Linked DNA regions of Bombyx mori. Each later gene encodes a partner of the first gene's protein in a complex. Links are inferred from orthologs where the notes say so. Each region holds a gene or a part of one and is shown on either strand. Other genes may lie near its edges. The genes, in order: RNA-binding protein spenito and N6-adenosine-methyltransferase catalytic subunit.

Region 1 (4,400 bases):
CAGTTTTATATTATAATATGAAACACGTCAAATCACAAACAATACTGAGTCAACATTTATATCACCATATTTGTAAATTGTAGAAAATTTGTCTTCAATTGACTCTAAATTTGGTAATTTTACTGTTAAAACCACAACACACCACTGACTTGTTGTTCCACTGTACATCCTTTTATAATCATTTTTTTGCAAATTAATGGACATACCAAAACATAAATTCACAATACTTTTTTTTTTGGAACACCTTAACATCACAAAACCACTAATGGATCAACTGCACTGGATATGTCACTTAATCACAAGGTTTAAAAAAACAACTTTCAAAATTAAAATAATCTATTTGTTTTGTTCACACACTACACATCACCTAAATCATACACTGAATATTATACACTTAACTTTAAAAAAGTAAGATAAACTTCTTTTAGTCGGATATCTAGCTGAACTAGCTTCTATACTGTACATTTTCATCAAAGTTAATTCTGATCACTGTGAGAACACAGCACTGCACAAATATTTAAACTTGCACATCTTATGCACCTCACATCACACACATCACAAGAATATAAAGTAAAAAGTGTAGAACAAAAAACTTAAATTAAGAGTATATACCTACAAATAACAATACAATATACTAAAGCAGTGTTTGAATAATTAAGCAGTGCCACCTCGTACTACTACTATAACTAGGTGATCTTCCTTAAAACTCTCTTCAGTTAAATTGTGACACGTTCTTTTGAGAAGGTCAGTTGAAAATTCACATGGAGGGAAAGAATAAAGAACTCCAGTAGCTTCAGTCTCTTTGTTCAAAAGTGATATCACACCTGCTGCTTCTTTTTGTTTAAGATATGATACCAAATTCCTCATTGGTCGTGTTTGTATCGAAACATCTTCATTGGTGACTACAGCAGTAGAACCAGACACACCCACAAAAATGGCATGAGAGCTAGATGTGGCAATACGTTTTTGAACATCATCTAACTTAGGTTGATCCAAACGTAATCTTTGTGTGATTCTGAGCTGTTTTCTACCATCTTCATCTTTCATGAGACTATCAATAATTTCAGAGTCACCGTCTGTTAAATGCAACTTAGTAGGAAACAATGAATTTTTGAGAATCAGTGCTCCATGCCAAATTGTAGTTGCTTTACGAACTAATTCTGCCATTGTTCGTGACGAAGATAGCATCCCACTACTTCTACGCATTGATCCATCAGAGTCACTATCAGGTGATCTACGACGAGATCGTGAGCGTGACCTATCGACTCCAGGCTCCCTTGATCCAGAACGACGCAAGCGACTCTCATATTCTGAATCTAATGGAGCACGTCTCCATTCTTCGTCACGATAATCTCCTGTACCATGATAGACACCTCTGTAGGAGCCACGTCCACGGCCACGATGCCCACCTCTACCCCTATAAGTACCATAGCTATAACCATCCTCCCAAGAACTACCTTCATATCCCTCATATCCTTCAACAGGCCTACCATCTTCACCAACAGGTGCACTGTAAGGTTTAGGTCTATAGGGTCCACCTGTTCCAACGTCTGCGAAATCAATACGCAAACGTCGCTCCGGTCCCCCTAAAGGAAAGCCCCGCATTTCTTTGACAGCAGCTTGGGCTGCATCAATAGAGTCATATAAAATATAGGCATGAGGTTCACCCTTCACATATTCAATCTTTTTAATGGCACCAAACCTATCAAATTCTCTCTCTAACTGTGCTACTGAAGTCCATGGTCCCAGGCCACCCACCCAGACACGTGTTGTGGGTGTAGCTTTGCCATAACCTATTTTACATTGAAATTTGCCAATGTATTGGCCTGATAATTCAACTTTGGCTCTGTGTGCCATGTCCAAAGTTTGATAACGAACAAATGCAAAAGCATTTCCAGTACCTGGAGGAGGTCTTTTAATGTCAATGTCCTCTACTATACCATAGCGTCCAAAAATTCGGCGTAACTCTTCATCAGAAATGTTTATTTCTAAATTACCAGCGAAAAGAGTTCTTGTAGCTAATGGATCATCTTCAGGTTGAACATGGTGTAGGTAATTTGGAAATTTATCTTTTTTGTTCTCAATTTTCTCAAATGGAGGATGGTGAGGCCGGGGCATGTATGGACGTGGCATATAATGGGGATGTGGAGGGTGATGCATAGGTGGTCTGTGATGCATTGGAGGCCCATGAGGACCTGCCATGGGATACTCATGCATAGGAGGGCGGAAATCTCTATGGTGAGGTGGCACTGTAGGAGGGATACCATAGGCTCTCTCATCAGGAGGGGGACGACGTCTCTCTGGTACAGGAGACCAAGCGTATGAATAAGGGCGATCATAGTCAGGAGGAGTTATACTACGAGGCCTCGGTCTGTACTCAGAACGTACAGGTTCATAAACAGGATCAACAATAGCAACTTTATCATACAGTATTATCCTAGGCTTGGCATGTTTAGCGTCTCTCGCATCCTCTGCACTTCGGAAGCAGATGTAGGCTACTCTCTCATCCAACTCATGGGATATTTTTATACTAAAGTCACCATACTTCTTATATTCTCTATACAAAGTATCCTTGACAATCTCATCCGACGCTTTAGGGTGTAAAGCACTAACACATAGTACTTTGTAGTAGCTGCGGACAGATTCATCTCGAGCATCACGAGAACGCACGTAATCATCGCGATGAGGTGACACATATCGACCGCGCGGGCTAGGGGAGCGTACTCGACGTCGTACTCGTTCCGGGCTTCCACGCTCGTCAGAGCTATCGTCATACCTACCAATACTGCTGCGTGTCCGTTTTGATCGCGGCATACTATCACGCGACGAACTTCGCTTCATATTGCGAATTTTCACCGTAATTCGATCTCTATCTCTATCGCTACGCGGTAATCCAATCATGAAAGCTCACTTCGACGAACTACTATCTGAAATACACATCACAATATTACACGTCACTGTAAATTAGTTTTGGTCGATACAATAAAGTAACCCACTGATGCACTATTCTTACCCCAAACGAATTACAAACACTAATCACTCAGCAGATCACTGAAAACCTCAATCTTGGACGAACTAATTCGTATTATTAAGTAGACAATTATTTTAAAATAATCACGTTCACTTCAACTTTATTTAATGTAAATTTGAAATTAGAAGCGCTGATAAGCATCAAGAATATCGACCATTACATGGGAATCTCACAAAATGGCAGTTTGGCTGAGGGTTGCCAAATGTGATTTCTGAATTTCTTGTACATATTTCCCCAAATTATTTTGCCGTTTCTTCTGAGTTGTATTATGTACGATAGGTACGCTGTTTCGGTTCTGTAACCAGCTTTACGGGTAGCGGATTTTGTCCGATAAGTGTTTTTTGGGTCTTCATCGAGTTGATCTTAAAACCAACTTTGGCGCTTCCAACTATATATCGTCCAGTTTGGATTGCATGCAGACAACTTCATGATTAAAAAAACATTAGTCATCAGCATGGTCTAGACCATCCAATTCTTTGGACAACCCCCACATAACAAGTCACATCCATGCTACTGTCGAAATTGCTATGATTTAATTAACTAATTGTTGTAATATGGACTGCTAAACTGAATACTTAATAGAGAAAATTACTGATCTGTATCCCAAGAGAAGTAAAGCTACCTATGATCTGGACTTTTTGGCGGGAACGCGAGAAGTGAAGTTGTGTGCTTTGTTTTATTTAATAGTGTTTCTTAGGTTTGAATGTGTAATAACGTGGTTTATTAACTATTTAGTATCTGTGAAAGTGCACAAATGGGAAAATGAAACAAAGCCACTGAACGTAACTTCTCGGGATCTTCCAAAAAGTTCACTGAAAAAGTCTCAGCAAATGACCCCTATTTTACTGAGATTATACTTCATTCCATATCATCTTATCTCATTTCATTTCATTTCGTTTTCATTTCATGCCATGTATAATAATAATCAACTTCATTTCATTTCATAATATCATTTTTCATTAAAAAAGCTGTCATTAAAATTAAAAAAAGACATGACCAAAAAGTCTTAGTTACCAGATCATAAAATCACTTTAAAAAAATGCTACCAGTGTAGTACCGTAAAATGGGGCGATTAGGGACAAATTCCAACTTTATGAGCAATTTTATGGTAGTTGTTGATGTATATAATGCTATATCAGGATCAAAATGATTGAGTCTTGGGGGCATCTTTGTTGTCTAATTTAAAATTATGCAACTAGCATTCCAGTTTAAGCAAAAAATGCAAAAATAGGTCTAATCCCTATTTACCCGAAAATTGCGGTTAATTGGGACGAAATGAGAAATTTGCTAGGGTTGGCACTACTTTTATTTTTATATATAGTTTTAATTTATTTATTTATTTAGTTGCACCAACAAAGTGATCAATAAA
Region 2 (4,523 bases), on another chromosome or scaffold:
ATGCTTCGCAGAATTTACCACCAGATCGGTAACGCGACCCACTGAGAAGATCCGGTGAGAAACCCAGTGGGCTGTGTCTGCGTGTAATATTCGACAATTGCACAAAATGCGGTCATGATAATGACATTTCCGATAAAGTCCATCCCCGACAAACTAAGCAAAATAATTTAGAGGCAGTTACTTATATCTATATGGGGGATAAGTGTACATGGAAATTGGAAACATGGATTTACAGAAGAAAGTTACAATTATAAACTATGTACGGTACTTGTTTCTACGTAACAGAAGTTTGAAGATTTTTTTTTATTTTTTCGCAATGCGCTGGATTTGGTGTCACTTCATACGGTACATCGCAAACGATTTATTTTCGGAGAGCGCGGATTGTAGTGTTTTTTCTATTGCTCACAGATTTGCGATATTTTTTAGCACCGAATTTTAATCGTAGTGTGCACTTAGCCCTGTTGTCGTATAATCATTAGTATGGAACTCATTCAAATTATGAAGACATGAAAATGGTTTGGATTTATTATGGTGCAAATAATATGATCTAGCAATAATTTAAATTAATAATTACGTATAGTTTAATTTAATAAAAGTTATCGACAAGCGGTCGCACAAATAAATTCAAATAACTAAAGTGATGCACCTGAACCCACCAATAAAATTGAATCAATACCGTTTTCAAGCCAAAAACTTACTATAAATTGATACGGAAAAACAACATACGCCGAAGATAAAATTTTACATGCGGAAGAAGCTTACCTTGCAACATGATAAGCTTCAAGAGTTCTCATGGCTCGTTTGTAAAAATTACATACTTTTTGTGAATGGCTTCTAAGTTCAGGAGCAAAAGACATTTCTGTAATATTAGAGAACGAACGACAAACAAGCACCTATAAAGTCAAACAATAAGATACCTACTTATACGTAAATGACGTGTATTATTATTATTTGATGCAGACCTATTGTTAAACGTCAAATGTGCCATACTTAATTTTTTTGGAACTATTTCAAATTAAAGCGATTAAATGCAATTTCCAACTTGACATTTCATGAAATTTACGGCTGTTGCAAAGATATAGTTTTTTTACAAATCATGATTTTGAAACACCCTAAATAGTAACAAATCACAAAGTTGCAGTTTGATACTAGTTTAAATAGTTTTCTAGCTGGCGTTCATTAACATTCCATAAAATATAAATTTACGTATTTTTTTCCACTACAATATAGTATATAAAATCGATATTTTAATCTAGTCTGCCTATTGGGAATGTTAAAAGCAACCGTCATAAATATATAAGTAACCGAATGTCGCCGGTCATTTATTAATTATACATTTTTAATTTATTAATTAAATCAACATACTTAAATAACTGAAATTGTATTTTTACTTAAGATACAGGTTTTATCACCTAGTTCAAGCACAGATGCAAATTATGATTGTGTTTCTACTTCTATAATTATTAATTATAAATTGTTAAGAGTCCAGGCAGCCCCCGACCGAGAGCCAGCGCTAAGCTATAAAAACGATCCGTCGCTGCGCCCTTGCCCTAAGTATCGCAATCTATAAAAAAAATCTCAAATGGCTCAATTGACATTTGACAGGTCTATGGTACTTACCGATAAAAAAATTATCAAACTTGCTGTTTGACAAATAAAATTGTGAGATTTAATAGCTTATTTAACTCGCTTAAACCTAATTTTATGAATTAAAAGTATGTAGGTACATTATGTATCAAGAATTTTTATAAGTTAACTTTTAATCAGCGATTAAGATTTGCTTGGTTTAAGTAAGATTATTACTTTAATATTAAATCGAATTAGCAAATATTATCTCAAAAATCACAAAAAATATCCCAATAACCATGAAATAGCCAGTGAAAATCACATTACTAGGGCATAAAATAAAAAAACAAATATTCACTATGTCGGACGCTTGGGAGGAAATACAAGCTGTAAAAAGCAAAAGGAAAAGTTTCCGTGAAAAGTTGGAGAAACGAAAAAAGGAACGCCAAAGTATCTTGAGCTCTAGTTTGGTCAGTGGCGAGAAATCTGATGCCTCTCCTAATAAAGATCGATCACTTGGTAGCCCGGCTTCAAAATCAGAAGGTAAATAAATAAAGTAGATTTAAATTTTATTCTTTTCAAAATGCATATCGAATTCGCAAAATATAGTATTCGTATCGGTACTAAACAGTATCATAGAAAGTAGTAAAGCAAACACGAAGACTAAGCCGAAACACAGGTGGAAAAACTTTAGTATAAAGTTTAGATCTTACTCCCTTTTTTTTTTTATTGCTTAGACGTGTGGACGAGCTCACAGCCCACCTGGTGTTAAGTGGTTACTGGAGCCCATAGACATCTACAATGTAAGTGCACCACACACCTTGAGATATAAGTTCTAAGGTCTCAGTATAGTCACAACAGCTGCCCCACCCTTCAAACTGAAACGCATTACTGCTTCACGGCCGAAATAAGAATACCTAATAATTCACCAAAGAGCAAAACAAACTTTAGTACTAGTCTCTACCAATGCTATTAGAATAAAATACAATGATTTATTATTCCAGCTTCAACTTTGCAAGAAAAGTCAAAACCAATCGTTCCACCAGCATCATTGGAAGTGCGTCTATTACAAGTTCTATCAGATATGCAATTGCAGTTACCTGCTACTGCCAGTGCTCTGCTACCAGGACTTGGAGATGTGGACACGGAGATTGTAGCAAACCTGTTACAGAAGTTTGCAACACAGAAGTTGATCACGTAAGTTTTTAAGGTATCAGGATGTTGATATTATGTTTAAAAATAAGTCATTCCAGGCTTTTCCAAAGTGTTCACAAATTACAGTTTAATTTTTTATTTACATTTATCTACAAATTGGATGCTACAGTTCTAGTTAAAGAATAAATTATTTGAAAATAAAATGTAAAATTTGAAGCAACTAATTACAATAGATGTAAAATATTATTAAATTGAGATACAAACTAGAAAAAAAAGACAGATTAGCTACTTTTTAATTATATTTGAGAGTTTAGTGTTTTAATCATTTTAAGAGTCGTGGTTTTAAATGATAGCCATTTAGACATGCGACACTGCTTTGGGAACATGTAAAAACAAAATGAAAGGAATGTATAACAAAAACAAACATTACATTATTGTGTTTTTACACAGTATAAGAGAAAAAACTGAAGTAACAACAGATGCTGACGTTGAGGTAGTGAGTGCAGAGTCAGGGAGGCTTGCGGCCGTTCTTGCAGCTCTGATGGAAGAAGAAACCACGACAACTAGCAACAAAAGAAAAGGTGAATGTCAAATGCTTATCTCCAAAAAGGTTTGCCTCCACAAACAAATAATGACGATATCCTTTCCAAATAGGTTTAAAGATCTTGTTCTAATACAACTGTTGAATGAAGTGATGGGAACATACCGTTCTTTAGAACGAACAGATCACCTAAAGAAAGCAAAGTGGGAAAGTCAATTATGAATACTGTGAAGTGTCATAAAAATTAAATTGAGTTTATTCATGAATAAACAGCAGTTTTACTCTGTATGACAGGTGAGAGTCCCATTGAAGATACATCAATTACAAAAGCTCCTAAGATGTCCACCGAGGAAAAGAAGTCTGGCAAGAGCGACACAGATATTATGGTAACCATAAAATAAACTCACAAATCTTGTTTTGAACCTGATAGTGCAATTTCACATACATATTGTTAGAGATAGGTAGTACACTATATTAAATGACCATCAGGAAATATATAGGTCATTGTTCTTGTTGAACCCATCGCTTGTGATGAAGGGCTCGGTGAGTAAATTAACCCACAGACACAGCCCACTGAGCTTCTCGCCGGATCGTCTCAGTGGGTCGCATTTCCGATCAGGTGGTAAATTCTGCTAAGCACTGCTCTTGCTAGGGCTAGTGTTAGCAACGTCGTCAGGTTTGAGCCCTGCGAGATCACCTACTTATTAGGGTTAAGCTGAAATAGCCTCTCAAGGTCCTCAGTTTAGGTAGAAAAAAAAGGAAAGACCTATAGGAATCATACACCTTCAGCCAGACTTGAAGTCTGTGTTATATTACAACTGTCAAATCCTTTAAACTGAAACACTGAAGAGAGAGATGATGCTGTTCTAATTCAAAATTAATGTCTCCCTTTCTATAGTTAACTTTATAATGTGTAATATTAATAATTAATTTATAATATTTAATGAATAATATTTGTAATTTATAATGTGTGTGTGCGTGCGTGTGCGTGCGTGTGCGTGCGTGTGCGTGCTTGCGTGCGTGCGTTTGCGTGCGTGCGTGCATGCGTTTGCGTGCGTGCGTTTGCGTGTGTGCGTGCGTGCGTGCGTTTGCGTGTGTGCGTGCGTGCGTGCGTGCGTGTGTAATGAAAAGCTTCACTATTATTTCAGTCCCTCCTAGCGATGCCTTCAAGTAGAGAGAAAGCAGTGAAGAGAGTCGGTGAGGAAATAATGGATTTATTGAGCAAGCCCACAGCTAAAGAGAGGTCCTTAGCTGACAAATT

Evidence for each region.
Region 2: RNA-binding protein spenito (region 1) and N6-adenosine-methyltransferase catalytic subunit share a complex: the UniProt entries of both Drosophila melanogaster proteins name them as parts of the WMM complex. The link is inferred for Bombyx mori from reciprocal best matches to the Drosophila melanogaster genes nito and Mettl3.

What each region holds. Positions count from the first base shown.
Region 1 is NC_085125.1:10,174,272-10,178,671, reverse strand, and holds the start of RNA-binding protein spenito, read right to left. Parts: upstream 2,902-4,400; coding exon 655-2,901; 3' UTR 1-654. UniProt on the Drosophila melanogaster protein: RNA-binding protein that acts as an associated component of the WMM complex, a complex that mediates N6-methyladenosine (m6A) methylation of mRNAs. M6a modification plays a role in the efficiency of mRNA splicing and is required for sex determination.
Region 2 is NC_085126.1:4,836,335-4,840,857, reverse strand, and holds the start of N6-adenosine-methyltransferase catalytic subunit, read left to right. Parts: upstream 1-1,590; 5' UTR 1,591-1,925; coding exon 1,926-2,109; intron 2,110-2,570; coding exon 2,571-2,763; intron 2,764-3,171; coding exon 3,172-3,302; intron 3,303-3,556; coding exon 3,557-3,648; intron 3,649-4,410; coding exon 4,411-4,523. Other genes in the region: NADH dehydrogenase [ubiquinone] 1 beta subcomplex subunit 9, read right to left, coding at 763-857. UniProt on the Drosophila melanogaster protein: Catalytic component of the WMM complex, a complex that mediates N6-methyladenosine (m6A) methylation of mRNAs, a modification that plays a role in the efficiency of mRNA splicing and is required for sex determination.